Linked DNA regions of Sus scrofa. The protein of the gene in region 6 binds, or shares a complex with, the protein of the main gene of each other region. Links are inferred from orthologs where the notes say so. Each region holds a gene or a part of one and is shown on either strand. Other genes may lie near its edges. The genes, in order: RBM48, LSM4, BUD13, CRIPT, USP39, SNRPG and LSM2.

The links.
Region 1: SNRPG (region 6) and RBM48 share a complex: the UniProt entries of both Homo sapiens proteins name them as parts of the minor spliceosome. The link is inferred for Sus scrofa from reciprocal best matches to the Homo sapiens genes SNRPG and RBM48.
Region 2: SNRPG (region 6) and LSM4 share a complex: the UniProt entries of both Homo sapiens proteins name them as parts of the U4/U6-U5 tri-snRNP complex. The link is inferred for Sus scrofa from reciprocal best matches to the Homo sapiens genes SNRPG and LSM4.
Region 3: SNRPG (region 6) and BUD13 share a complex: the UniProt entries of both Homo sapiens proteins name them as parts of the minor spliceosome. The link is inferred for Sus scrofa from reciprocal best matches to the Homo sapiens genes SNRPG and BUD13.
Region 4: SNRPG (region 6) and CRIPT share a complex: the UniProt entries of both Homo sapiens proteins name them as parts of the minor spliceosome. The link is inferred for Sus scrofa from reciprocal best matches to the Homo sapiens genes SNRPG and CRIPT.
Region 5: SNRPG (region 6) and USP39 share a complex: the UniProt entries of both Homo sapiens proteins name them as parts of the U4/U6-U5 tri-snRNP complex. The link is inferred for Sus scrofa from reciprocal best matches to the Homo sapiens genes SNRPG and USP39.
Region 7: SNRPG (region 6) and LSM2 share a complex: the UniProt entries of both Homo sapiens proteins name them as parts of the U4/U6-U5 tri-snRNP complex. The link is inferred for Sus scrofa from reciprocal best matches to the Homo sapiens genes SNRPG and LSM2.

The regions. Positions count from the first base shown.
Region 1 is NC_010451.4:72,443,235-72,447,775, reverse strand, and holds the start of RBM48 (RNA-binding protein 48), read right to left. Parts: upstream 2,966-4,541; coding exon 2,822-2,965; intron 2,285-2,821; coding exon 2,094-2,284; intron 2-2,093; coding exon 1-1. Other genes in the region: PEX1 (peroxisome biogenesis factor 1), read left to right, coding at 3,160-3,408. UniProt on the Homo sapiens protein: As a component of the minor spliceosome, involved in the splicing of U12-type introns in pre-mRNAs.
Region 2 is NC_010444.4:59,498,350-59,502,634, reverse strand, and holds the start of LSM4 (U6 snRNA-associated Sm-like protein LSm4), read right to left. Parts: upstream 3,076-4,285; 5' UTR 2,960-3,075; coding exon 2,957-2,959; intron 2,708-2,956; exon of another isoform or gene 2,647-2,707; intron 985-2,646; exon of another isoform or gene 545-984; intron 1-544. UniProt on the Homo sapiens protein: Plays a role in pre-mRNA splicing as component of the U4/U6-U5 tri-snRNP complex that is involved in spliceosome assembly, and as component of the precatalytic spliceosome (spliceosome B complex).
Region 3 is NC_010451.4:44,162,333-44,166,769, forward strand, and holds the start of BUD13 (BUD13 homolog), read right to left. Parts: upstream 3,070-4,437; 5' UTR 2,903-3,069; coding exon 2,760-2,902; intron 538-2,759; coding exon 444-537; intron 1-443. UniProt on the Homo sapiens protein: Involved in pre-mRNA splicing as component of the activated spliceosome. As a component of the minor spliceosome, involved in the splicing of U12-type introns in pre-mRNAs.
Region 4 is NC_010445.4:93,922,900-93,927,444, forward strand, and holds the start of CRIPT (cysteine-rich PDZ-binding protein), read right to left. Parts: upstream 3,018-4,545; 5' UTR 2,884-3,017; coding exon 2,868-2,883; intron 944-2,867; coding exon 878-943; intron 1-877. UniProt on the Homo sapiens protein: As a component of the minor spliceosome, involved in the splicing of U12-type introns in pre-mRNAs. Involved in the cytoskeletal anchoring of DLG4 in excitatory synapses.
Region 5 is NC_010445.4:59,146,584-59,150,362, reverse strand, and holds part of USP39 (U4/U6.U5 tri-snRNP-associated protein 2), read left to right. Parts: intron 1-326; coding exon 327-396; intron 397-3,597; coding exon 3,598-3,692; intron 3,693-3,779.
Region 6 is NC_010445.4:72,197,101-72,201,571, forward strand, and holds the start of SNRPG (small nuclear ribonucleoprotein G), read left to right. Parts: upstream 1-1,621; 5' UTR 1,622-1,743; coding exon 1,744-1,775; intron 1,776-4,471. UniProt on the Homo sapiens protein: Plays a role in pre-mRNA splicing as a core component of the spliceosomal U1, U2, U4 and U5 small nuclear ribonucleoproteins (snRNPs), the building blocks of the spliceosome.
Region 7 is NC_010449.5:23,899,733-23,902,831, reverse strand, and holds the end of LSM2 (U6 snRNA-associated Sm-like protein LSm2), read left to right. Parts: intron 1-1,644; coding exon 1,645-1,675; intron 1,676-1,792; coding exon 1,793-1,852; intron 1,853-1,966; coding exon 1,967-2,092; 3' UTR 2,093-2,447; downstream 2,448-3,099. UniProt on the Homo sapiens protein: Plays a role in pre-mRNA splicing as component of the U4/U6-U5 tri-snRNP complex that is involved in spliceosome assembly, and as component of the precatalytic spliceosome (spliceosome B complex).

The DNA.
Region 1 (4,541 bases), on a different chromosome or scaffold from region 6:
CCTAAACAGAAATACAAAATATTATGGTTTCCTGATCTAGATTTACTTAGGAAGAAAGCTTGACTAGTACACAATGCACTGACCTAAAAAGCAAAGTCCAGGAACTCCCATTGTGGGACAGCGGAAATGAATCCGACTAGTATCAGATTAGTATCTTAGATTAGATTTGATCCCTGGCCTTGCTCAATGGGTTGGAGATCTGGCACTGTGAGCTGTGGTGTATATCGCAGACACAGCTGTGGTGTATATCGCAGATCCCGCCTTGCTGTGCCAGCAACTGTAGCTCCGATTCAACCCCTAGCCTAGGAACTTCTATGTGCCGCAGTGTGGCCCTAAAAAGCAAAAAAATAAATAAAAAGCAAAGTCCAGGTTTTGCCAAGTGTATATACATCTTATACTTAGGGAATAAGAATTTCTGCTTGTGGACAGCATGACTCTACTGATCCAGTGCCTACTCTTAGAGCCTTTCTTTCCCTCTCCCTAGTCTTAATAGGTTTCAAGTCATCCATACCTATCCAGACTCCCTTTAACCAATACTGGATCCAGCTGGTTGGCCTGAGGTACACAATCTGTGGTTATGAAATAGAGATTTTTCTCTATGTTAAATGGCTCTTGAGCGTTAGCTCATACTTATTTTAGCCTTTTTGGCACAATGTGTTCCTATAATGGGATTCATATTTAAGAAATTAATAAAATATTGAAATTGTAACATTCAATAATGGAGGAAATATTGAATATATAACAATCAATGAGAATGGTATTCATTCAACAAATAATTTTTAAACATCTGTGACTGGCCAGGAATTACTACAATAAATAAGCACTTCAGTGCCCAGGGAAAATGATAAATACTTACTGAGATTTTACCACATCCCAGGCAGTGACCAAAGTGCTTAAGTGCTTCTCTTGAATTAACACAACAACCCTCTGATGAAACTGAAGCCTAGAGAGATTTATAACTTGGCCATTCTCACATTAGCTTTTGGAGCTAAGATTCAAATCCAGATGTCACACTGCATGACCTACTGTACCAGGTGGAGTGAGAGATGCAAAACTCCTTAAAATACACAATGAGAAAATATCCCTAACCATGAGGAGCTGACAAATTGGTTAGGGTAGTGAGATTATATATAACGGCAACCTGAGAACAACACACGATGACATTAACCCAAGTGATTTATGGCAGAAAGACTACAAGGGCTATCTGTAGCACAGAAAAGAAAATATGAATTCTAACAGCCAAGAGAAGATGGGTCTTGGAGCCTATCAATAAGAATAGGAGTCAACATAAAAAGAGCCAAGGCCCCAAGTAGAAAGGAAGAAGAGGGTTAAATTGGGGATTTGGGATTAACAGCTACACACTACTATATGTAAAACAGATAAACAACAAGGACCTACTGGTTAGCACAGGGAACTCTATTCAATATCCTGCAATAACTTATAAAGGAAAATAATTTGAAAAGGAATGTGTGTGTGTATACACACACAAATAGGTATATGTGTGTGTGTGTGTATAACTGAAACACTTTGCTGTACACCTGAAAGGTTGTAAATCAACACTTTCATTTTTTAAAATGAGGGAAAAAAGAGATAGGGCATTTCGTACTTAATTGTTGGAGAAAATTTTATGTTATATAGAAGGAGATTCAATTACACAGGTCCATAAAATAAGAGATCCAATACCTAATGTTTACTGCCTTCTGAATAGAAGGCACTGTGCTAAGCCCTATACATGGATCCATGTCATCCTCACACAACCTCCGTAAGTAGGTCCTTTTACCATACTGGTGTCTAAAGAATAAGAAAACAGTCTTAATGGGGTCAAGTAACCTGTCCATGGTCATGATGTTAGTAAACAGTGAAACTTGAAAATTTACTCCCAAACCAATTTTTAATCTACCATACTACACACACAAAAAAATTGTTAAGCATGGGAATGACGTGATAGAAAGAGTTTGGTAGGGCTAACATTTAAAAAGACTAGAAGAATACAGGGTCATGTTAGTTACTGGGTAATTCAGAAATGAATGAGGGAGGCCAAATGTAGGCAACGGGAATGGAGAAAATGAGACACTGTTTAACTTGCATATTACCTTGCACTTTGTAAATTGAGAAATTTAATAAGATAAACTTCTGTAAAGTCTTCTGCTGGGTATTCATCTAGAGCATTATACTGTTCAATTGCACCATACAAAGCAAATCGCTCAACTAATTCCTTCATGGCTCCGACTGCAGGAACTCCTTGTATTAATAAGTACCGAGATTCCAAATTGATCGTGTAAACCTATAAGAAATCAGACACATTAAATGTATTTCACAAAGAAGCCTGGGACAAATCTAATCCTATATTTTTTTAAAGTTGAAAAAAACACCTTTCGACTGGTTTGCATAAAAACAGGAAATCTAAAAACTTGCCCCTCTCTCTACATAATGAATAGTTTACCCTTCTTGCAAAGGCCTTTAGCTAAAGCACGTAACATTATCTTCCATCAATGTGTTTTCCACAAATTAGCTCGGTAGAAGTTACAGGGACGAGTTAACAAGTATTCGCTGAGCGTTTACCATGTAACAAGGACCACTGTAAACACGGAAGATACAGTGACTGAAACACAGCCCTCTTCTCACGGAGCTGAGGTTCTAGCAGTAGACTAAAGAGCACTCAAGCATCTTTGGTACTTGAGTACCAGCGTTTTTCATATTCTTCTTCAGTTAATCGATGTGACCGCAGCCTCTCAAGATGTTATTTACGTAAGCTGGGCATGTGAAGCTGGAACTCACAGAAAGCTACCGGGGATAGCGATTGAAACCAAAGTCACTTTACCCTGACAGCGCGAGGGCGGCGCCCCTCTCGATACTTGGCCCGCGAGTCGCATACAGCCCTTTGGACGTGGTGATCGAATAAGCCTCCTAGCTGCCCGCCGCTCAACGCCATCTTGCCGGTGTTATCCCTCGCGAACGACAACATCCGCCCCGTTGCCCCACCGTTTACCCAATAAGAGAGAGGGGTGAGTTAAGGCGTTCCGAGATTGGCTGAAGAATCGACACCGTCGGCCATCGTTTCCTGTGAGCGAGGATTTGGTGAAGAACGTGTCGCCCCCCAGCGGCGCGGCGGAAAGGCCCTGAGAACAGGCGCAGGCGTGCTGGCCCCTCCCGCTCCGGATGCGCCGCGGGGCCTTAGGGGGCGGGGCCGATCGATCGTCTCCGGGTCCGACGCCCGCGACCTGCGGGGTTGGCCCGGGAAAGATAGGTTGGGCGGCTGGGGGTCGGTGCCTGCAGACAATGTGGGGCGGCGATCGCCTGGCGGGTGCTGGCGGAGGCGGGGCGGCCGTGACGGTGGCCTTCACCAACGCTCGCGACTGCTTCCTCCACTTGCCGCGGCGCCTTGTGGCCCAGCTACACCTGCTGCAGGTAAGGCGCCCGCTTGGTGCCGGGCTCTCACCACCGACTTGGGACAGCTGCTGGCCAGTCTGCGGTCGGCCGAGACCCAGGCCTTTTAGGGACGCAGCGGCCGCTCAGGCCTCTCCCGGCGGCGGGATTAGGGCTGCTTTCCCAGCCCCGCCGACCGGTTCAGAGGCCACACTGAGGACCCCTTGCGGGCAGGGCTGGCCTGGGCGCTCTTGACAGCCACATCACGTCTAGTGCAGCACGGCTTCTTTGAGTTGACCTGCTGTATTCCAGGTCTTTTACTCGCCGGAACTGGGCTTTGAAACGCCCCGATATTCTCCCTCTTCGTTCAACTATTCCTCACTCCAGGTTGGAAAAGCTCTTGAGAAGTCGGGTTTGTTTGTCTTTTGGGATTCTGTTCTGTTTTGTTTCATTATTAGAAAACGTTTTTCCTGCCAGCGATTTCCAGGTGCTTGCATGGCTGTGGTCCCGGCCTTCAGAAAGAGGGGCGGACTTGGTTTGTGAAGTCTCTATTGGTTAACAGAGGTGGAGCCCTGTGTCCCACGAGCGGGATAGATTAATATGAACCTTCTTCCTGTGTCTCCAAACACCTCCGGGGTGCTCCAGGAATGTGCTGTGGGAGTATGCATACTTGGTCATAGGTAGTTAGAATTCCTTGAACCTCTGTTTTCACTTGCGCTCTGCACCTTGTGGTTGTGGCGGTTCATAGCTCTAACACTTGCATGGTTACAGAGATGCAACATCTGTATTTTCCTAATTGTAAAGTGGAGACACCTGGTTTACGAGTTTGAGCGTGCTTGCTTAAGGGGCTAAAAGGATAGGCTGTTTGAAATCTTCGAAAATCCTGAATGCATAGTACCCACTGGTTTGCAGTAATTTCAACAGTTTGCAATAATTTCAAATATCTCCCTTTTCCATTTTAGCTACTTCTCTGTAACTCCTTTTCTAGAGTATTTTCCCCTATCTTTCATAGCACATTAATTTCAACAGATCCTGCCATTATTTCTTTTACTATAAAGTAGGCAGTCTCTTGGCCCTGATAAGCTTCCTTCTGGCTGGAGATGAGTTAGTTATTATCACCTGGTCCCAGGTAGCTGCTCCCTGCCCTGTGCTTTCAGCTTTGATGATTTTCCACG
Region 2 (4,285 bases), on a different chromosome or scaffold from region 6:
TCCCGTGTGGCTGTGGCTGTGGTATGGGCCGACAGCTGCAGCTCCAATTCCACCCCTAGCCTGGGAACTTCCATATGCTGCAGGTGTGGGCCTAAAAAGGAAAAAAGAAAAAGGAACACATCTGTCTGATGCTGCCTGAGCACAGCAAGCTGTGGAGAAAGAACAGGAGGCTCAGATATGCATGAGGGAGCCACAGAGCCAGGTGGTATTCTATTATAGAGAAGCTCAGGGTTTTCCTGGACAAGCCTGTTTGCTGTATCCACAACGGGAATCAGGACCAGAGCAATGACACACTTGAGTCCTCCTCCCAGATCACCGGAGACGGGGACAGGGCCAGGCCAGCCCCTGTCCTGGAAGGTGAGAATGAAAATGGACTGTGTGGAGAGGTGGAGGGAGTAGGAGTAGCACAGCCAAGGCCCCTCTAGATGAGGTACCAGCAGCTAGGAGGGACACCCAAGGATACAGAGCAAGGTCTGGGTAAAGCCGGGGAAAGCAGATTAATGCCTGTTAGCAGAAGACCCACAGATGTCCTTTTATGGCATACCTTGCCTTCAGGCTGTCTCTCTCAGGCTACCATCCTGTCCCAGCTACGAGTAGCACACCCCTGGAGGACCCACAGCCTTTGCAGCTGTTGCCAGCAGTGTGACCTCAGAGGACGGCAGCGACACAGATGGAACCAGCACCTGCTCACACCCTCCCCTGCACACCCGCTCCCTTGGCTAGCCACAGAGCCAGGCCTGACACGGCTCTAGCAAACTGGCCCGCTCACTTCTTCACACCACGCCTGGTGCTATTGGTCAAACTTTGTTCCTTGGTTCCCTCTACCTGGGGTGCCCTCCCCCAGGCTGGTGACTTCTGCTTCAGCCAGCCCCTCATTATAACCCCATCAAGGGAATGAGGTTTCCACCTGGGCCACCCTCTGCTTCTATTATAGGGTATAGCCAGTCTCTAATTAACTTGTTTATTTATTACGTCTCCCTGGCTAGACTGGAAACACCAAGCCTCTTGCTAGACTGGAAAATTCAGAGGGTGTGGACTTTGTCCAGTGCTGAACACTGGGCCAGGCACATGCAAGGGACTCAGTAAATATTTGCTGACAAATATAGCACATACCACCCAGGGAGGCACTCCAGGCAGGGGGTGGTGACAGGGGTGGGGTGGGGTGGGGAATACTTGCCACACCTCACAAGACAAGGAAAAGGAGAAGCTCAGGTAGGGAAAGGTGGCATTGGGACAGCCCTCCAAGACTTCAACAACCGCAGCAGTGGTCATATCTACTTCCTTGTTCCCAAACGCTGTTGGAGACAAAGGCCAAAGGAAGAGGAGGAACCTGGTGAACTTGAAAGCGAGGGGTATGCTGGGGTGGGGGAAAGCATGAAGGTGCCAGGGATACAGGAGAGGGCAGATCACCCAGTTCAGGGGGGAGCAAGGGCTGTGTGGAATTTGGAGTCATAAAAAGCTTCAGGGAAGAGAATTCTTTTCTCTAGCCTTTCTCAGAACATCTGGGGTCTGGCCCTCAGGTCTAGGTCCATCCACACCTAAATACATTTATTTATTTGCTTTTTAGGGCCGCACCCATGGCATATGGAGGTTCCCAGGCTAGGGGTCGAATTGGAGGTACAGCCACCAGCCTGCGCCACAGCCACATGGGATCTGATCCACGTGTGCAGCTTACACCACAGCTCACAGCAACACTGGATCCTTAATCCACTAAGCAAGACCTGGGATCAAACCCCCAACCTCATGGTTATTACTCGGATTCGTTTCTGCTGTGCCACAATGGAAACTTCCACAACTGGATTTAATGGTGTCCTGAGGTTCCCAACTCAGGAAGCTGCTGATCACCCACTCCCTCACCCAGACCTTGGCTTGGCTTCCGCCCCACCCCGACCACAAGGAACAGGCAGTGTGTAATGCCTTAGCCACTCCTGAACACAGACTTTGCACAGACACTGTTCTAGGCTCTGGCAATATATGAGGATAAAACAGAGATCCTATCTCCATGGAGCTTAACAAATGGATTCTTCCACAGACCAACTCTACCCTCCAGAGAGACGAACAGAGAGAACGAAGCTGCTCCCTTCTCTCCATCCCTACAATGACCAGAAGAATTACTGAACCCTCATGGTCAGCTCCGAAAAATGTGCAGCGACCATCTTAGAGGACTCGAGGGCTGATGGGCCAGGTTCTCTCCCAGCTCAATTCCTCTGTGTGGGCCTCCATTTCCCTGTCTGTCACTCACTGGGGACACAGGCACGCTGGTTTAGATCTCCAATTTCCACAACTTGTGAGATGGCATGGCCCTGGGGAGACTTCCTGCCAGGGCCTCGATTTTTTTGTTTTCTAAACTGGGATACGGTTAGCCCATCCATGGCTGAAAACGCCCCCCCTTCCCCTGGAACCATATGCTGTGTGACCCCGGAAGAAGTTAACCTTGCTTTGGGTCTGCTTTTTAGTCTGAAAAGGAGAGGCATAAGAGGTTGCGCAGCTAGCATTCCAAGGGCAGTACAACCCCCGAAATTCCCCAGATTGGCTGAATTTGAGAAAGAAGGCCGGCCCCCTACTGCCTGGTGCTCTAGCTTTACTGTCTAGGAGGTCAGATCGGGTCGGATGCACTGGGAGCCATTTCCCCGTCCGAAAACTCACTCTGCTGCATTCACCGGGCCCTTCAGCAGGTCCCCTTCCTCTCTGGCCTCAGTTTCCCCATCTGCAAAATGGGAAGACTGCTGCCAGACTGCCATACTGTGATTTCATTTCTATCCAATCCCAAGCTCCCCCGAGACCGACGTGCTTGGTGTCCTGGGAGAAGCTCTTCCACTCTCCGGCCTGTCCTCCCCACCTTGGGCGAAGGGGCAGGACTCAAGGCCCAGATTACAGGCTGGCTCCACAACGCCCCTGAACCAACAACCGCCCCGAGGGCCCTTGGCGGCCGGCTCCCCCGTCGCACCGCCCTCACCATGGTGTCGGCGGGGACTAGGCTCGTGGGCTACTTCCGCCGCCGCCGCCGCTCACGTTCCCGCCGGTAGCTGCAGCTCTGCGCGCCACTAGGCTGAAATGGAGTGGCAGCAACGCGAGCCAGTCAGCACGAGGCTCATGGGAAGGCCAACCAATCCACGCGGAGTAAGGCGGGGCCTATTAAACACGAGGGGCGGGGCGGGCCGCGTTCCTACCGGAGAAATGAGAGAGAGAGTCGTAAAGTGCCGCTATGAGTGCTGCAAAAGGGGGCGGAGCAATGTGCGCCGGCGCAGGAGGCCTTGTGGGTAAGGGCGCCTGCGCAGGTGCAATCTTCAGTGATTTTTCCGGGCTCCACGCTGTGGGCAAAACGGGGTAGTGCCTCCAATTTCCAAATGGAGGAATGGCAGCTCTATGGTTATTGCCATGTGTCCCTTCGAGCTCCTACTCTTCTGATTCTCTTTATTGTAGTTGACCGTTGTCCAGGGCACTTCTTTTGATAGGCTAGACGTACCGGTGTGAACCTCAGTTTGCTTCCCTTTGAAATGGGCTTAATAATAGTGTCTGCTTTAGAAGGTTGCAATGAGTGCCAAGTGATTTATGCCTTGTAAAAGAAGAGTGCCCGGCACGTACTGAGCACTTGATACACGGACATGCAATAAATATTTATTGAGCATCTACTACGGGCCTCCTCCTGGAAACACAGAAGAGAATAAACCAAACAAAACTCCTGGCCCTCCTGAGGTTTAGGAGCCCACTGGGGAGGCAGACTGTAAACAAAATAGACAAATGTATTAGTTTCCTTGGGCTGCCATAACAAATGATCAAACTGGGTGGTTTTATTTTTTTATTTTTATTTGAATATTTTTTGCTTTTTAGGTCCTCACCCATGGCATATGAACGTTCCCAAGCTAGGGGTCGAATTGGATGGAGCTACAGTTGCCTACACCATAGCCATGGCAATGCAGGATCTGAGCAGCATTTGTGGCCTACACCGCAGCTTCCTTAACCCACTGATTGAGGCCAGGGATTGAACCTGAGTCCTCATGGATACCTAGTCCGGTTCCTTACTGCTGAGCAACAACAGGAACTCCAAACTGGGTGGTTTTAAACAGTAAAACTTAATCCGAAAGACTGAAATCAAAGTTTTAGCAGAGTTGGTTCTTTCTGAAGGATCTGAGGGGCAATTCATCCCATGCTTCTCTGCCAGCAATCCTTGTAGTTCTTGGCACAGATTCCTCTGTCATCACATGGTGCTTTTCTTTGTGTGTCTCTGTGTCTCAACTCTTCCTCTTTTTTTTTTTTTTTTTTTTTTGTCTTTTTGCTATTTCTT
Region 3 (4,437 bases), on a different chromosome or scaffold from region 6:
CTTTAATTGAACCTGAACATTATTTTTAAGGTAGGTTCCAACAAACTGAACCACGGCTAATTCTAACGACAGCTCTATCACTGACACTGAGGAATCCTGCCTCTCTGTGATTTGTTCCCATTTCCAAGCTGATAGGGCCCTCCATAAACAAAGACTGTGTATAGCCATCGTCAAAGAAGACTATTTTACAATAGCTCCAGGAAAGTGTCACCTCGTCTCTGCCCTCAACTTTTCTCCTTACAAATAAATATACCCTGCACTGGGAGTTGAGATTGAGAGGCTTACACTTCAAAGTCCTCACAGCCTCAAAAGATAGAGGAGTTCCCTGGTAGCCTAGTGGTTAAGGACTCAGCAATTCACTGCTGTGATATGGGTTCGATCCTTGGCCTAGGACTTTCTCATGCATGCCCCTTGCTCGGTCAAAAAAATAAAAAGATACATACCACAGGCAAATCTCCATCATCTTCCTCTTCCTCCTTTTCCAGTTTAGTGGTGGAGATAGATGACCAGCTCACGTCATCATCCACAATCCGCATACTAAATGTGGAAAATAAAAAGATCAAAAGAGAAGAATCATTCTTGGTTAACAGCCAACAAACATCTATCTATTGGTTTTAGGCTAAAGCTCAAAATCCTACAAGATCTTATGGTCCATTCTTTGCCAGTATGGCCAACTTCATCTTATACCACTGCCTTCTCGGTTCCCTACTCACTGGTCATCTTCTGCTGTCTAGAATGAGCCAAACTCTTTCCCATATCAGTTTCACAAACTCAATTCCTTCTCTCTGCCTGACCTACTCTTCTCATTCTTTACTGGGAAACTCCTATTCATTCTTAAAATCCTAGCATATATATGACTTCCTTGAGCATACCTTCCTTGACTATTTCCCTTACCATCCCCAACTAAGAACCCCTGCTAGACATTCTTGGAATATTTCTACTTCATTTATCAAAAAGGAAATAAATCAACAAGTTGTGTAATTAGTTGCTTAACGGCTGTATTCCCATTGAACTATAAGTTCCATCAGAATAGGGACTATGCCTCTCTTATTTACAGGGATATCCTGCACCCCTCAACACCTTAGCATAGAGAATATTCAATAAATTTTGTTCCATAGATAAGCTATGGATGAGTCCAAATAATAAAAATAACTGCCATGATGTAAACAGTTATTTGAAAAGCCAAGATCATTAATCACAATCATTTAATATAAATGATACCATTCACTACTACTCTCATTTTAAATATGAAGAAATTGAGGCTTAGCCCAGAAAGTGGCACAGCTAGGACTTAAATATTGATCAGTGTCGCTGCAAAGCTCAAGCTAATTTCACTACATGGCACTTCCTCCAAGGAATCCACACAAGTCAGAGGGGGCTGGAAGACATAAAGGAAGAATAACGGGACAACCAAATCAGGAAAGGAAATGGATTAGTCCCTTGTAGCTATCTGACTTTACTGGGTAGTTTCCTAGAGCTGCCTAATAAAGTACCACAAAACTGGGTGGCTTAAAACAACAGAAATGTATTCTCTCACAGCTCCGGAGGCTTCAAGTCTGAAATCAAGGTATCTGCAAGGCAACGCCTGCCAGGAAGGCTCTAGGGGAAGATCTTTCCTTGACTCATCCAGTATCTGGTAGCTCCTAGTGGCATATGAATCCAGTCCAGTCTCAGCCTCCATCTTCACACAGTAATTTTCCCTCAAAGCCTGTTTTTGTATCCAAATTTTCCTCTTCTTAAAAGGACATCAGTCATATTGGACTTAGCGCCCATCCTAATTCACTATGACCTCATCTTAACTAATTACATCTACAAAGACCCTATTTCTTCTTTTTTTTTTTTCTTCTTTTTGTCTTTTTAGGGCCGCACCTACAGCATATGGAGGTTCCCAGGCTAGGGGTCGAATGGGAGCTGTAGCCCGCCAATGCCACAGCCAGGCAGGATCCGAGCAGCGTCTGCGACCTACACCACCGCTCATGGCAACGCTGGATCCTTAACCCACTGAGCGGGGCCAGGGATCGAACCCACAATTTCATGGATCTTAGCCAGTTCGTTACCGCTGAGCCACTGACAGGAACACCAGACCCTATTTCTAATGTCATACTCTGAGGTCCTGGGTGGTCATAAATTGGAGAGAAGAGGCACTATTCAACCCAGCACGCTGGGCCACGTAATTTTCCTTGTTTGACAAATGGGGTTAACAACAACATCTACTTCATGGTAGCGTTATGAAGCTTAAATAAATTCATGTATATCTAAAGGACTCAGAACGGTGCCTGGCACATGACAAGAACTGTACAAATGTTACTTGGTGGTGGTAGTAGTAGTGGTAGTAGTAAGAATAACAGGAAATGAGCACCAGGTTTCCAACTCAGGACGGGAGTCCTTAGGATTGGAGAAGCGCCCCCCCCCCCCCCGCCCCAGACAGGTTCTGGGCCCTAAATACCCAAGCCCAGAGCCTTTGAATTCGCTCCACCAATACTTTCAGGGTATAATATTCATTCTCTGCGAGAGAAGACGGACTGCTATAAAAGCGGGAAGAGAGTAATGAAAGTTACAGCCTGGCCTGAATACACCCAAGTTACTGCCGAAGCGCGCGAGAAGCGGCCCCGGCCGACTCTGGGCTGAGGCAGGGTCGGGCGAGCAGTCAAAGCCGGGCAGCCCGCGACCCGTCGAGGAAGAGCCGGGCCGAGGGCGGAGCTGGGAAGGCGGGAGGGGGGGGGCAGCCCCGCGGACCCAAGCCGCCAGACCCAACTCACCCCTTGCCGCCAGCCCCGCCAGTCTTCGGCCGCTTTTTGCGACGCTTGCGGCCGGATTCAGGGCCCCCGTCGACACCGGCATCTGCCCCGGACAAGTAACGCTTCAGATACTCGGCCTTGGAGAGCGGCGGAGCTGCCGCCATGGCAGCGGCGAGGGCGGGGAGACGGACGGGCGCTAGGGACAAAATTCTTGAACGCGAAACGAACGGCGAGGACCCTAGGAGGCGCAACCGGGCCCGGAAGTGGCCGAGTATTTGGAGCAGTCCAAGCTGATAGATGAAAGAGAGCGTTTAAGGGCTAATGAGGAATGAGCATATCTCCGGTGCCCAGTCTACATCCCCCCGCCCCCCGATGCGCAACCGTGTTTTTCCTGTTGTCCATCTATCTGCTCATTCAAGCCTTATTGCAGCAACAAGGCTACAACTGCGACTCCAGAGATCTACTTCAGAGTTGCAGCGCATCTAAGTTTGAGTTCTGGTTTCATAACTTCCTAGCTGTACGACCTTGGGCAAATTATTTAACAAAATGGGGATAAAAATCACACCTAAATCAATGGTTGCAATGACTTGAGAGAATATTACCGTGTAAAGTGCTTTGAACAGCATCTGGTACACAGTATGTTAGTTATTTTTATTAGCATGTTTAGATGGAGAGGAATCTGCTTTAATAGGCCTTCAAGAACCACTCAAGAGAGGAAGTCAGGAATTCCAAACCCAGTATAATTGTTCTGAAAAATATGGAGGTTTCTAACCTGTGTAACTTATCCACATTCGGTATTACTGGTTGCCCCTAGCTATCTCTTGTGTGGAAAATCTCCAGTGCAAAGGACTTGGATCTATTTTCAGTATCGTGAAAGAAGCTAGAAAGACTGAATTCTAATACTCAAGTTTGGGGAGAAGACTTTTTCTTGTAAGCATTAAGAGCTTTACTTGAATTATCTCATTTAACCCTCATGTTTCTCAGATAGTTTTATTATCCTTACAGATGAGAAAACTGAAACTTGGAGAAGTTAAGTTGCCCAACTTCACACAGCCAGAATATATGACCCTTGGGAGCAGAGGCCAAAAAGGTGGGGTACAAGAGGTAATACAAAATTTCTGGAAAAAAATTATATCTTACATTCTATGTATCTCATTATATATGTTAAATCACTGTAACTGTTTCAAGGCATTACTCAAGAAGGCATTGTCATACTTTATCACTAAATACATGTATCTTGGGATACATGTTCAGAAAATACTTATATGTAACAAAACAGGTTTGGAGATCACCGCCCTGAAGCAAGAAATTTTAACCTCTGGGCCATACTGACTGGTCACAGCACCGGCCCAGGAAGAAAAGCAGGCTGGGTCTCTTGAGGGCTTGTGAGAAGGGGGCACTGGACTGACAGGGGAATCAATAGCTGCAGGGGACCATAGGTCCCCCACCCACAACCTTGCCTTGGCTTCTAGTCTGCTTTAATGTACCTCAAGCTGGTGTCAGCAGACATGGGGAGTCTCCCACTGCCACTCCAGTGAATATTACTCCTATAGTTCTCTCAACCCCATGCCCTCCTGCCCTCTTCTGTCATCAGTTCTACCTCTACCCATTCCACTCAATACCTACCCTTAGCCTGACAAGACCCAAGCTCTAGTCTTAACACTTCCTCACAGGGCAGTTAAGCAGGACCAAAGGAATT
Region 4 (4,545 bases), about 22 Mb from region 6:
ACTTAAAAAGGAGAAAATTATTATTAGGAAAACAATAAAACAATAAAAATTTGGATAAAAGGCAATTATTTTATTTCTTAGACTCAAAGCAGGACTTTAGGAACAGGTCTATATTTAATCTATCTAATGCAAAATCTAGATGCCACTACTTTGGTGCCACTGACCTTAAATACAGTGATAATGTTTCTTTTTCTTCCCTTTAGAAACATCTTCACTGTAATTAATGATTGTGAAGGTGAAAACATTTAAATGATTTGTTCAAGAATATAAAAACCAGGTGAGGAAAGGGGGATTTAAATAATAACTCTAGGAGTTCCCATCATGGCGCAGTGGTTAACGAATCCGACTAGGAACCATGAGGTTGTGGGTTCGATCCCTGGCCTCGCTCAGTGGGTCAAGGATCCGGTGTTGCTGTGAGCTGTGGTGTAGGTTTGCAGATGCGGCTTGAATCCCATATTGCTGTGGCTCTGGCACAGGCCAACAGCGACAGCTGCGATTAGACCCTAGACTGGGAACCTCCACATGCCTTGGAGCAGCCCAAGAAAAGGCAAAAAGACAAAAAACAAACAAACAAAAAATAATAATAATAACTCTAGTTAGGCTGAACCAAATCAGTTACTATGATATACTCATTGCTTAAAAATCATTCAATTATCTCTATTTCCTGACTACCAAATTAGGAACCCTGACATGTCACTAAGAAAACTAAGGAGATGAAGTTATTAAATTGTTGTGGGGGGGAATGTCCAGTATTCTTTAATATTTAATAGATGAAATATGCTGTATGCTTAACAACATTTTACAAATAATGTAAAAGCTAAAACATTATTCACAGGAAGTATCTGATTTAATTTCTATGTTCTAAAAGGAAAAATACCTGTGGTATTCCTTGCACCATCTTTCCATGTATCTGGAGTGATAACAGTACCAAGTTTCTTTTCACCTGTTATAACAAGATAACAAAAGTGGGGGGGGGTTAGCATTACTATCTAATAAATACACTACATTGTGCCTTAAGTTTACAATGGTATTAATATTCATATTACATACAAATCTGTTATTGCTGAGGCTTGGGGCCAGTGAACTGAGACTTATGATACTAATTGTGGGCCATGGATAACTGACTCTCAGTCAAATCTGTGGATAATAGTATGGCCTATAATAGGCTTGTTTCTGTACATTAATGCTTTAAACAAATCTGATAAATCTGTTCATTTACTAAATATCAGTGATATATAAACCATTGTACAAAGTACAGAGAAAAATAAAATGAATTAGATAAGGCTCTAGATTTCAAGGAGTTTACATCATACTGATTTATCTCTAACAACAGTTCTTAACCTGAGTTTTCACATGTGGACCTTAGGAAATACATGAACAAGATGAAACTGAACACAAACCTCTGTATATCCATTTTTTTTTTAATAGACTCTGTTAAGTCCACAGCTTTTGTCACATTCTCAAAGGGCTCCGAGAACAACAACAAAAGTTTAGCATTATTCAACTGAAAGTAAACAGTATGTTAAGAGCTGAAGTACTAAGATACATTCCATGGAGGAAGAAATAACCTTGACTAGGGAAATCCAGGAAAGCTTTGTGAAGAAGGCAGTAGAGAGGGTTTGTGGTAATGAGACCATGAAGAAAAAGGAGAAAGGAGGATGAAGGTAAACTGGATAAAGGACACATCCTGATAAAAGGCGTGGAGAACTCGAGGTACATGCAGTCAGGCAAAATAGTTTGGCTTGGCTGAACTGTAAAGATGGTAAGGGTTAGTGAAAATAAAGTTAAAAAGGTAAGATGTGGCCTCATTGTAGAGGGTCATCCTGAATGCCAGTCTCCAGATACAGAAATCCCAAATTATTCTCTGCACCTTGAGAATGTATTAAAGTAACTGTCATGGTCATTCTTTCACCTAATCTGAAAACTGTGATTCAAATTCTGTGTTCAAAGCTATAAGGCTTTATATACTGTGGGGGGGGGGTAAACGAAATGGATCAAGTTAATTAGATGATAATCAAACTGACGATAATCAAATTAAGAGGACATGTTTAGACTCAGGAAAACGGGAATAAGACTGCTCTTTTTAAATACACAACCAGTTTGTGGGAGCAAAAATATCAAATCTCAGAGGGTGGTATTAGAATTACTGGACGGCAACTAGAAGAAGGAAAGACCTTTCTAAAAGCCAGTAAAATCAACACGGACTGCTTCCAAGGTGGTGAGATTCTCCTACACACCGGCCACCATTCCTCAATACTCTGGGTATTCGTTCAAGGACCATTTAAGCACTCACAGCATGTGGAAGTTCCTGGGCCAGGTATGGAACCCTGCGCCAAAAGTTAGATTTAAATTTCAAATAAACAATGAATACTTTTTCAGTAGACAATGTCCTAAAAGTAAGTGCCTTGCTTTACAGCAGTAAGGAGCAGCAAACAGAGCCAAATCTCAAATATTGCATAGGACGCACACTAAAAATTATTCTTGGTTTACCTGAAATTCAAATTTAACTGGGCGTCCAGTACTTTTATTTGCTAAACCTAGCAACTCCAGTTGCTGTGGAAGCGACTTTTAAGATCCATTTCAACCTGAAGCTCTGAAATGAGGGAGCCAGTCAAGAAGCTCAGGGGTTGAACGAAAACAATGGAAACAGACAAGGAGGTGCAAAACAGACAAGGAGACCACCCTGAATGCAACAAACGGAGGACTATACGGTCGATGGAGAGGCAGGAATGGTCAAAGGGCAGGACAGAACAGAGGCTAGAATCAGAGACTTGTGGCCAAAGTAAAAACAAAGGAATAAAGTCCCGGGGAACTCCAGTTAGGTTGTCCCAGCCTTCTTCTCCCGCAGAAGAGTTTCCTTAACTCACATTTTTCGCACACCATCCTTTCGCGACGATTCCCTCAGTCGCAGTAGGATCGGGAGCTGGAAACCATCAACACCACAGCTGAGAAAACACTCCCCTTCCGGGTTATGAAAGTCCACTTCCGGATCCTCCGCCCCGCCTATTCTACACCTGGAAAGCCGCGGGAGGAATAAAGGAGAGCGGGAAGGCGGGGCTTCCTTCTTGGCCCACCTCTCCACTTCTGCGATTGGTTGTGAGGCCTTCGGTCTCCGCCCTGCTGGCCTGCGCCTGCGCGAGACTCAGGGCGGCGAGTTGCACCTGATGGTGGGAGGTAGTAGCCCTCCCGTTCTCTTCCGCGAGCGGGAGAGTTAGGTAAGCCCAGCCGGACGCTCCCGGCGCACGAGCCTCCAGCGGCTGCAAGCCACCCCCGCCAATTGCCCAACTGATCGGAAATCTCTGCTACCAATAGGCCCTTGCCCGCGGGCCCCTCGAGCGCCGCCCTTCCGGCGTGACCCAGGGGCTGCCCCGATGAACTGGCTCTTTTTCAGTTCCGACTTTCTGTGTTTGTCCCGCCGTTTCTCTTGGTCTTTACGCCTGTGCTCTTTGATTATGCTTCTCAGCTTGTCCCTTTCTGCCCACAGTCGGCTGGGGCTTGGGCAGAGTCCGCAGCGACCCAGTTTGGGATGGGGCTGGAGATTACGGTCCCACGATTCCCGCGAAGGCGCCTCCAGGAGCCTTTCAGAATGGCCCTCTCTTCCGCTGCAAGGCTTGAGGATCTGGGCCAGGTCAGACCACGGGCACCTGGGCAATAGCTGCCCCAGGGGGCACCTGGCGGAAGTCCTCCTGAGCTCTCCAAGGCCTAATATAAGGCTGGTTTCTCAGGAAGGGCAACTCTGCACCTACTCTTCGTTCATTCACTCATTCACGCAGCATTAAGTTTGTGTATTGCTCACTGTCTTATGTACAAATCTGCTCCTGTCAATTGGGATTTTGAGGGTGGCCCAGAAGAAGATAGGACCGGTGAGAAAGATTTCCTTTCTCCTTTCTTGCCATTCATACCTCCTAGTATATATCTATATCATCAAAAAGGTTAGCTAGGGTTTGAAATGGCTTTAGCACTTGGGACCTTGGTAGCTTGCAATGTTTACTAATCTCTGCTAGTCTTTTTCCTTATCAGTAATGTATTTTCTTTTGAAAAATATAGTGTGAATAAATGAGAGTGTTAGGATAAGGCCTGGATTTGCCCTTTTACCCTTTTATATATACGCACACGTACACATATATGTGTGTGTATATATATGGGGTTTTATTCTGGACTAGTCACCACAGTGTGACACGTGGACTCCTTACTTAACATTAGTCAATACTACATATAAGCTCTCTGTTAGATAATTTGTAAATACATGCATACATAAAATAGATATATAGAGATGGGAGAGAGAGAAAGTAAAATTTTTTTTCCCTTTTCATGAAGCTCTTCTTTTCATTGGAATCTAGCGTCTGACATTGCCATTTTGGTATTTTGGGGCGCTGAGATCCCTTAGTTTAGCATGATGTTTTTTGAACGCTCTTGATGACATTGACCACCATTTGTGTATTTCAGTGTGCACCTGCTGTTTCTTGGTATTTGCTAGAAAATGTGAACAACTGTGTTGATAGACAATGGAACACAGTGATTAAAAAAGAATGCCAACAATTCAGC
Region 5 (3,779 bases), about 13 Mb from region 6:
TGCAAGGAGATTTGCATTTTCTTGATCATTGGTGAGACTGAGCATCTTTTCATATGTTTGTGGGAAGTCTTCCTCATTTTCTGTTTGGTTGTCTTTTTAAAAAATCTGTTCACTGGCTTTCTTTAAATAATTGCAAGCAATTCCTTTGTTGGTTATGTGTGTTTCAAGTGTATTCTCTCAGTTTGTGGCTTTTCTGGGTATTGTCAGGCTACCCATACAGGAGCTCGTCCTGATTAGTTTTCCCTATCACTGTGTTTGTTTCTATTGGTAGTTGGTCCTGAGTATGGCTTTCCCATTTTCAAAGCTGTTGATGATTTTCCTTTCAGCAAAGAATGGCCGCTTGGATTCTGAGGACCAGAGGAGCCGCCACTGCCCATACCTGGATACCATTAACAGGTCTGTAGCACAGGGATGCACTAGCACAGGGATGCAGAGGGCAGCAAAAGAACAGTGGAATCTGCAGAAAGTTCTTTGGGCTGTATGTTGAGCAATATGTTCAAAAACTTTATCTCTTTTAGGAGGAGTTCCCGTCGTGGCGCAGTGGTTAACGAATCCGACTAGGAACCATGAGGTTGCGGGTTCAGTCCCTGCCCTTGCTCAGTGGGTTAAGGATCCGGCGTTGCCGTGAGCTGTGGTGTAGGTTGCAGACGCGGCTCGGATCCCGAGTTGCTGTGGCTCTGGTGTAGGCCGGTGGCTACAGCTCTGATTGGACCCCTAGCCTGGGAACCTCCATATGCCGCAGGAGCGGCCCAAGAAATAGCAAAAAGACAAAAAAAAAACTTTATCTCTTTTAAAGCTTTCTGGGAGTTCCATTTTCACTCAGCAGGTTAAGAATCCAGCGTTGTCAGTGCTGTGGCTCTGGTTACAGGGGTGGCATGGGTTCAGTCCCTGGCCCAGGAACTTCCACATCCCATGAGTGTGGCCAAAAAAAAAGGCTCTCTGCCCAGAAAATTCTACTTCTTGCCATGTTTTTTAATCTTTGCCCTTCAGTTTATTTATGTATTTATTAAAAAATTTTTTTTCCATGGAGTTCCCGTCATGGTGCAGTGGTTAACAAATCCAACTAGGAACCATGAGGTTGCAGGTTCGATCCCTGGCCTTGCTCAGTGGGTTAAGGATCCGGCATTGCCGTGAGCTGTGGTGTAGGTCGCAGATGTGGCTCAGATCCTGTGTTGCTGTGGCTCTAGCGTAGGCCGGTGGCTACAGCTCCAATTCGACCCCTAGCCTGGGAACCTCCATATGCCGCGGGAAGCAGCCCTAGAAAAGACAAAAAAAAAAAAAAAAAAAAAATTTTTTTTTTCATTATTGGCTGCCTCTCAGCCAGGGATCAGATCTAAGTTGCCACCTAAGCCACAGCTGTGGTAACACTGGATCCATAACCCACTGTGCCTGGCCAGGGAGCGAACCTGTGTCTCATTGCTTTTAGGAAGCTGCTGATCCCATTGCATCATAGTGGGAACTCTTGCCCTTCAGTTGAAAGTGTCAGAGGGCATGTTTTTTCAGGGTGGGCACATGCACAGAGAACTTGTAGTTCATTTTGAATTTGTATGAGGAAGTAAAGGGATACACTGTGTCAATGACAATAGCAAATTTAAATATTTATTGAACACCCGCTCTGTGCTAGGTATTACGCTAGGTGCTTGGGATTCAGCAGAGAAAAAAAAAATGTCCTAAAGCAGAGGTGGTTGCCTCATCCTGATATTTTTTGATCCCAGATGCATCTTAGGATGATTTTTCATACATGCTTTCGGGTAACTCTGTCTAATAGACTTTTTTTTTGCACCAATGGAGTGGCTCTTTAGGGCTGTTCATTGTGGTAGGCACAAGGCACCTGTGGCTACTAACCACTTGAAATGTTGGCTTGAGTAATTGAATTTAAAAATTCTATAAAATTTTTTATTGGCTGCACCCTTCACATGCAGCACGTGGACGTTCCCAGGCCAGGAATTGAACCTTCACCAGAGCAGCCACCCGAGCCCCTGCAGTGACAGCCCTAGATCCTTAACCTGCTGTGCCACAGGGGAACTCCCGTGAATTTTAAATTTTATTTAATTTTAATTAATTTACATTTAAACTCCAGTAGCCATGTGTGCCTCGTGTCACCTTTAATGGACAGTGCAGCTGTCCTAGGACCATTACTGATTAATTAGAGTTAATACTTGAGAAGGAATCCCTTTGCCACCTGTGGATTCAGTAGAGGTAAATTGTTTTTTTTACTAATAATTTTTATTTTTTCCATTATAGCTGGTTTACAGTGTTCTGTCAATTTTCTACTGTACAGCAAGGTGATCCAGTCACACATACATATATACATTCTTTTTTCTAATAATTTTTTTTTTGTCACTTGTCTAGTGTTCATATACCATGACTTGAGGAGATAGATCTGTTTTTGGGTATTTCCCTAAAATTCTTCAGACTTCTCACTTATTTTTATGGCCTTCTTAATAAATTTTTCTTTTATGAATGGGTTTATTTGCTCTTTTTATGTCATTTTATGCCCAGTCTTTTCATTTGAAATGCTGTTGGCACTGTGTTACTTTAGTCCTACTTGTAGCTTTCCTTCCAGAGAAGGTAATAGAAGATTCTCATCTGGTTGTGAATACTAAAAAGAAAGAGGGTCATTGATAAAGATATCTCTTTTTTTAAATTAAAAACTTAAAAAAAAATTAATGGCTATATGGGAAGTTCCTGGGCCAGAGATTGAATCTAAACTGCAGTTGGGACAAAGCTTGATCCTTTTAGTCCACTGCACCCGGCCAGGGATTAAACCTGTACCTCTGCAGCAGCTACTCGAGCTGCTGCAGTTGGATTCTTTTTTTCTTTTCTTTTTTTTTTTTTAGGGCTGCACTTGTGGTATATGGATGTTCCCAGGTGAGGGGTTGAATCAGAGCTGCAGCTGCTGGCTTATGCCACAGCAGTGCCAGATCTGAGCCACGTTTGCAAACTATGCCATAACTTGTAGCAATGCCAGATCTTTAGCTCAATGAGAAAGGCCAGGAATCATCATGGATACTAGTTGGGTTCTTTTTTTTTTTTTTTTTTTTTTGTCTCTTGTCTTTTTCGGGATGCACCTATGGCATATGGAGGTTCTCAGGCTAGGGGTCTAATTGGAGCTGTAGCCGTCAACCTACACCACAGCCACAGCAATGCCAGATCCGAGCTGCATCTGCGGCCTACACCACAGTTCACGGCAATGCTGGATCCTTAACCCACTGAGCAAGGCCAGGGATCGAACCTGCAACCTCATGGTTCCTAGTCGGATTCGTTTTAACCACTGAGCCAAGATGGGAATTCCTACTTGGGTTCTTAACCCGCTGAACCATAATGGGAACTCTTGCAGTCAGATTCTTAACTCACTGTGCCACAGTGGAAACTCTGATGGAGATACCTTTACACTACTTTGGGGCTTGGTGGGTGGAGGTACTGTATTAAATGTCTAGGTAATGAAGAGTTCATGTTTCCCATGATTTGTATGTGGTTGTTGAGCCATTCTCTGAAGGATGCTACGTGGGAACACGGAGCCAATGCTGCTTCACTCGGTGCTTGCCTAGGCATCCATCCCTATTAATTGTTTCTGTTTTATTTTGGTTCTCTTAGGAGTGTGCTGGACTTTGACTTTGAAAAACTGTGTTCCATCTCTCTGTCACATATCAATGCCTATGCCTGTCTGGTGTGTGGCAAGTACTTTCAAGGTAAATAGATGTTTTGCATTACAGACTTGCTGAATCTTCAGTGCTAACCACAGGTCTATTGCAGAGAGTCGTTTTTTGAAAGAAAGT
Region 6 (4,471 bases):
TGTCGAGGTTTTTGAGTAAGATATATGATAATTTTGTCTCTACTTATATATCTAAGAAATGAACTGAATCTTGTAGAACCATCCCTACTTAAAATCACCAATGCTTTCCCTTTTTTTAATTTTTGTTATAGTTTATTTACAATGTTCTGTCAGTTTCTGCTGCCCAGTTGTACAACCAATGCTTTTCCGTTTTGGCCTAAGTCTTCTATAATCCCTATTGTTCTTGATTCATAAATGTGGGCTGCTCCTCTTTTGGGAAACTTAACTAGGATCAAATCAGACCATTTTTTACACCTTTCGACTTGAAAATCAATATTTTAGAAATCATCTGTGTGCTGCTCTTCATACTTTATATAGAGGGGCAAGGTACAGTTAAGTGGGGTTTTGGAAGCATTGCAGGACTGTCCGTGGGGAATATACTTATGACCTCTAGATTAAAATTTTTTTTTTTTTTTTTTTTTTTTTTGTCTTTTTGCTATTTCTTTGGGCCGCTCCCGCGGCATATGGAGGTTCCCAGGCTAGGGGTCGAATCGGAGCTGTTGCCACCGGCCTACGCCAGAGCCACAGCAACGCGGGATCCGAGCCATGTCTGCAACCTACACCACAGCTCACGGCAACGCCGGATCGTTAACCCACTGAGCAGGGGCAGGGACCGAACCCGCAACCTCACGGTTCCTAGTCGGATTCGTTAACCACTGCGCCACGACGGGAACTCCTCTAGATTAAAATTTTTGGAAACTGAGGCCCCCTCACTCTATTCCTTTGGTGCAGAGGTCGTTAACTGAGCTGTTACTAGAACCTTAGTTGTAGCATGACATCCTGTGGGAATACTAAAATACCACAGGTTCAACAGTGAAGCAAATACCTCAAAGCAAGTCACAAGATTTTTTTTTTCTTAGTGTGATTACCTATCATAGATCACCATAACGAATACAGTAATGAAAAAATTTGAAATACTGTAAGAATTATCAAAATGACACAGACACAAAGTGAACAAATGCTCTTGGGAAAATGGCGCTGGGAGATTTGCTGGACTCTGGGCTGCCTCAAACCTTCAATTTGCTAAATTAAAAAAAAAAAAAAAACGAGTTCCCGATGTGGCTCAGGGAGTTAAGAACCGGACTAGTATCCATGAGGATACTAGTTTGATTCCTGGCCTCGCTCAGTAGGTTAAGAATCCAGCGTTGCTTTGTCTATGGCAAAAGCCAGCAGCTGCAGCGCAGATTTGACCCACAGCCTGGGAACTTCCATATGCGGAGGGTTCGGTCCTAAAAAGACCAAAAAAAAAAAAACCGCAGTGTTTGCAGAGGACAACAAAGGGAAGAACAACACATGGAAGTATGCACACACATGCCAAAGAAATTTTTAGGAGCCTACCCCTCCAGAGCTTATTTTCATCTGGTAGCGTCAAGACAACTTTGCAACCCACAAAGACAATGAGTTAACCAGCGTCCTTCAAATGCTAGAGGCAGGAACAGCAACCCAATTACAAAGAGGAATATAAAGACTGGAGGCCCCACCCCTCCGCTCTAGCCAATCCCTGGCGACACAACGGAAGCTTGGGACTGATCTGCGAGCTCAGGATTTTCCTAAGTATCGCGACGTGAAACGTGAAAGCGGCCAACAATCAATTGGCTAACGGGATCAGTGACGTCAGACGCAAAGCACCGGGCCTACCGCTGGAGCGTGAGGGAGAACACGAATTCCGTTTGGAGGTTTCTTTGAGTTCGCGGAGTAGGCATCATGAGCAAAGCTCACCCGCCGGAGTTGAAGAAGTAAGTATGCATGAGGGCCGCGCATAAATGGCGGCTTCTTTGTAGGCCTTGAGTTCCTTGGATCCCCAGCCATTTCCGGAGAGTGTGTCTGCCGTGCTTATTGCCACTGGCTGCCGCCGCGATCCGGGCCACCGTCCCACGTTTCCGGGCCTGCATCCCGCGCAAATGTTGTATTTCGGCCTGGTGGGCATGCTTTTCAAAGACGTAAAGGCCCCTCCGTCTGCAGGTTTGCCTCCCAGGCCGGAGTTCCTGGCCGGGTCTCTGGCACTCGATCCTTCGTTACTTAAAGATCTTGAATACCACAGTTAGCTGAACGCCTTGAGTAGCATCACGTTCGAGATAAGGTGGTTGGACAGTAATTCTGTAAGGAACTAAGGAGGTGGATGGAATGGAATTGTTTTGATGGTATATGAGAAATTCAAAAGCTGCCTTCATCTTAGTGTGTTGGTGGTTCCTTTGAGCTTTAACTTAGAAATCCCGTTCTTGGGAGTTCCCGTCGTGGCGCAGTGGTTAACGAATCCGATTAGAAACCATGAGGTGGCGGGTTCGGTCCCTGCCCTTGCTCAGTGGGTTAAGGATCCGGCGTTGCCGTGAGCTGTGGTGTAGGTTGCAGACTCGGCTCGGATCCCGCGTTTCTGTGGCTCTGGTGTAGGCCAGTGGCTACAGCTCCGATTCAGCCCCTAGCCTGGGAACCTCCATATGCCGCGGGAGCGGCCCAAAGAAATAGCAAAAAGACAAAAAAAAAAAAAGAAATCCCGTTCTTTTTTCTTAATTTCTTGCACTTAGGTTGAACTTGAATGTGTGATATTTTGCTCTGTTAACTGGAATGCGTGAGAACATTCATTTTTCTCTAATTAGAGAAGGCTCTTTTGTTGGGGGGGTGTTCTTGGTAAGATTTCCTTTTTGATTCTTAAGATATTAATGAGAGTTTTTAATTACCTTTCTTTTCTTATATGTAGATTTCAATAATTGTGAGATCCTGCCAGGTCTACCTCCAAAATGACTTTTAACTTTTTCTTCCTTACCATCTTTTTTTGGAGTTCCCTCGTGGCTCAGCCGGTTAAGGATCCAACATGGCACTGCTGTGGTTCAAGTTCAGTCCCTAGCCCAGGAACTTCCGCATGCCACCCACGAGGCCCGAAATCTTTTTTTTTTTTTGCATTTTTATATCTTCCGTCTGCTTTTAATATAATTCTGTGGTTCTTAACTGTGGTGTAGAGAGTCTGGTTCTACCAGCATTTAGTAGGTAGAGGCCAGGGTTCCTGCTAAATATTCTACAGTGCACTGGACATCACTCAACAACAGAATTATCTGGTCCCAGATGTCAGTATGCCAAGGTTGAGATACCCTGGCCCAATCATATTCTTCCTACCCCTCTTAAAAATCATTGCCAAAGTAGTCTTTTTTTTCCCCCAGTTTTTTTGAGATAAAATTGACCTACAGCACTACGTAAGTTCAAGATGTACAGCGTAATGGATTGATTTACACATGCTTCAGTAATCTTAGCCATGCCTGATACTGCTGCAGTAACTTATTGCCATCTGCATAATAAAGTCCAGACTTCTTGAACCAGCAGTAACGCTCCTCCATTTGAAATCCAAGCACCAAATATTACACACGCTAATATTTGAGTACCATGTTCTTGGGCCAAACTGAACCATTTGATTTTGCTCAAACTTTTTCACTGCTGAGTGACTTTGGAAATTTTACTTAACCTTTCTGGGCCTTGGTTCCCCATCTGTTAATTGGTGGTAATAACAATGCATAACTTAAAAAGCTTTCATAAGGATTAAATAAAATAAGTTCATATGTGTTATATTTGTGTTTTTTTATAACATCCTAGTAAAATTGATTGTTTTACATGTCATACTATATATTTTTATTTGTAAAAACCTGTCTTCTTACACCTTCTTCAGGCCTCATGTCTTATTTATCTTTGAATTCTCCATGATATACATTAAAATTGAATGAAGTTTCATATTTTCTAGCCTACAGCAAAGAGGTAAAAACTGGTTTGACTTGTTGGCTTCATATTCTTTTTGTCTTTAGGGCTGCACGCACGGCATATGGAGGTTCACAGGTGGGGGGTCGAATGGGAGCTGTAGCTGTAGCCCCTGGCCTAAACCACAGCCACACCAGATCGGAGCTGTGTCTGTGAGCTACACCACAACTCATGGCAATGCCAGATCCTTAACCACTGAGTGAGGTCAGGGTCCAACCTGCATCCTCATGGATACTCGTTAGATTCACTTCTGCTGAGCCATGACGGGAACGCCCTTGGCTTCATATTCTCATACTACCCTGCTGATATGGAATTTTGTTGCTTAATTCAAATTATTTAAAATTTCAATATGCATTTATTTTGCTAAAGTATACTTGGGTGTTGGAGAATATCCTGAACATTTAAGATTGTTGCTTAATATTAAATAAAACACTATGTATTGTCTCAAATATAAAATAAAATATCCATTGGATTGGATATGGTTTGATTACCTTCTGATTTCTTCACAACTTTGTTTGGTTTTTAAAATAACCAAAATATAACAAAATCTTTGTTTTTCTGTTTTGGTCGTAAGATTCTGTCATTGAATATTGGGTCGGGGAGTTCCTATAGTGGCTCAGTGGGTTTAGACCCTGACTAGCATCCATGAGGATGTGGGTTCGATCCCTGGCCTCACTCAGTGGGTTAAGGATCT
Region 7 (3,099 bases), on a different chromosome or scaffold from region 6:
TGCATCCTCATGGATCTTAGTCGGGTTCATTAACTGCTGAGCCATGAAGGGAACTCCTGAGAACCAGGATTCTAAGGAACTTAGAATCTGGCGATGACATGCGGGATGGTTAGGATGAGGGCAGCGAGTTGGAGGCTGGACTGGATCGAGCTGTAAAGGTATAAGACCTTAGTTTGTAGAAAGAGAATAACAAATGTTAGACATCAAACAGTGGGGGTTCGTGGTTCATGGAGAAGTACAAATTTCGGGATTTGAGATTTTTGAGACTTAAGTGTTGAAACCACTGGCAGAATTAAAGAATTGGAAGAGAGATAACATGGCGTGCAGCGGTGGTGTTTAGATAGCCTTCCTCGTGAACATTTCAGGGGTTCAAGGATCGAGGAAGGGAGAGAACATCGCTCATGCCTGTGTCATCAAAAACATCACCAGTTAGGAGTTCCCATCTCGGCTCAGTGGTTAACGAACCCGACTTGCATCCATGAGGATTCAGGTTGGATCCCTGGCCTCAATGAGTGGGTTAAGGATCTGGCATTGCCATGAGTTGTGGTGTAGGTCACAGATGCAGCTTGGATCCCAGGTTGCTGTGGCTCTGGTGTAGGCTGGTGCCTACAGCTCTGATTGGACCCCCTAGCCTGGGAACATCCATATGCCGAGGGTGTGGCCCTAAAAAGCCAAAAAAAAAACAACATCGCCAGCTAGCTACCTTACCTGCTTTACATACAGAGCCCTGGTTCCAAAGCCAGTATTTGAAAATAGCTAATGGTTCTGGGGGACAGGCCTGAACCAAAGTCTCTATTTGTTCTAAACTTGTCAAGATACACATTTCTGAGCCCCTGGATGGTTAATAGCTACCTTGTGAAGTGGCTGCAAAGATTACAAACGTGCGGAATAAAGGTCTAGCACATAACTTTTTTTTTTTTTTTGTCTTTCGTCCTTTTTTTAGGGCCAAACCCTTGGCATATGGAGCTTCCCAGGCTAGGGGTCTAACCGGAGCTATAGCCACCGACCTGTGCCAAAGCCACAGCAATGCCAGATCTGAGCTGCATCTGCGGCCTACACCACAGCTCACGGCAACGCTGGATCCTGAACCCATTGATCAAGGCCTGGGATCAAACCTGAGACCTCATGGTTCCTAGTTGGATTAGTTTCTGCTGCGCCATGATGGGAACTCCCACAAAACTTTTTTTGATGGTAGCTACTAAGAGGGAATTTAGGGAGAGATGTGAGGTCTAAACACACTGCTCTGGAAGCAGTTTTTTTCCTACCCCATAGCTTAGGCATGCCCCTTGTTGGTTCTTTTTTTTTTTTTTTTTTTTTTTTTTTCCTCTGCTTTTTTAGGGCCACCCAAGTGCAGCATATGGAAGTTCCCAGGTCGAATCAGAGCTTCATCTGCTACCCACACCACAGCTCATGGCAACGCCACATCCCTGACCCACTGAGCAAGGTCAGGTTTTGAACCCACATCCTCACAGATTCTAGTTGGATTGTTTCTGCTGTGCCACAAGGGGAACTCTGGTTCTACCTTTTTTGGTTTCTTCAAGTCCTTTACTTCCCGCAACCATGTTCTTATCCTTGCTCTAAAATCACCTCAGTGTTGACTTAGGTATAAACTATTTTGGTTTTTCTTTTCTCTACCTCTGACAGCATCTGTGGAACCCTCCATTCTGTGGATCAGGTAAGACTGTAACAAGGGCCCTGATAGGGTCTTGGGGAAGGAGAGGGGAGAGCTTAAGGGCTGGGAACTTGCATCTTGTCTCTGGTTCTAATGATGGTGTTCATCTTCTTTTCTTAGTATCTCAACATCAAACTAACTGACATCAGTGTCACAGACCCTGAGAAATACCCTCACATGGTGAGTTGTAGATGGTAGAGATGAGGAAACACCTCTCAAAGCAGGAGGTCCCTGGGTGGATAGAGGACATTTTTGAAGCGTGTTTTTTTTTTACATTTGTGTATCTTTGTCCAGTTATCAGTGAAGAACTGCTTCATCCGAGGCTCAGTGGTTCGCTATGTGCAGTTGCCAGCAGATGAGGTTGACACACAGTTGCTACAGGACGCAGCAAGGAAGGAGGCCCTGCAACAGAAGCAGTGATGGCTGCTCCTCCCTTTCCCTCCTTCCATCGGTGATTCTGAGCCTCATGTCCCAGCTCAGGATGCCTCCCTCCCATACTTGAGGTGTTGTTTTTTTCACAGCAAAGTTTTTGTGTTTTTTTTAAGGGATGAGTGGATGAGAGTAATAATAATGGAGAGCTACTCTCCTGTATTGAGAAGGGGAGGAAAAGGAAGCCCGGGAACTGCGAAGCCTTCCCTATCCCCAGCACCTGCCTTTCTCACTTCTTCCCTGGAGGTGGGAGAATCTCCCAGGTCTTTCTAGGGTAGCATGTGATTCATTCTGGGGATGGAAGGAATCTGTCCCGCATCGGGAATAAAATTTATGATGCAAATTCGAGTTCTGGTTCTGTGTTTTGGGAAGGGGGCTAGAGAGTGGGAAAGGGATGCTGAATTCACCCAGCCCTGTTACTCTCATTACCCAAGCCAAGGCCCCAACCCGTCCTGTCCGTATTGGCTACCACTCTTCCTGATACAAACCGTACCTCAGTTGGACTGCATGCCCCCTACCTATGCAGCCTACCTACCATAGCCTTTTCCTAATACTGTACCTGCGAATGTTTGCTGTCCTTGTATTAAGGTGGAAGCTAATGAGACACCTAAATGCGTTTGATGCTGGATCTAGTGCTTCCCCAATATCTATTGCATATAAATACAAGTGACAACTTTCATTGTGGAGAGTTGTGACTGGGAATTAACTCTAAACTCATTTAGCAAGTAAGAGTTCCCGCCCCAGATGAGGGTTCTCAGGACGAAGGGCCGTTAGAAGCCATCCAATTCGACTCCCTCCTCCCACGTAGAAGGAAATGAGGCTCAAGGAGAAGCTGGACACCAGGACCTCGGCCAAACGGACCCCTACCCACGTTGGCGTCAGGAGCCGCCCTCCGCCGCCGCCGCGTGAAGGCCCGCTGGCACCGCCCTCCCGCCCCGCCCCGCCCCGCCCCCCCCGCCCCACCCCGCCCCGCCCGAGGACCCGTACGGGGTGCCCGC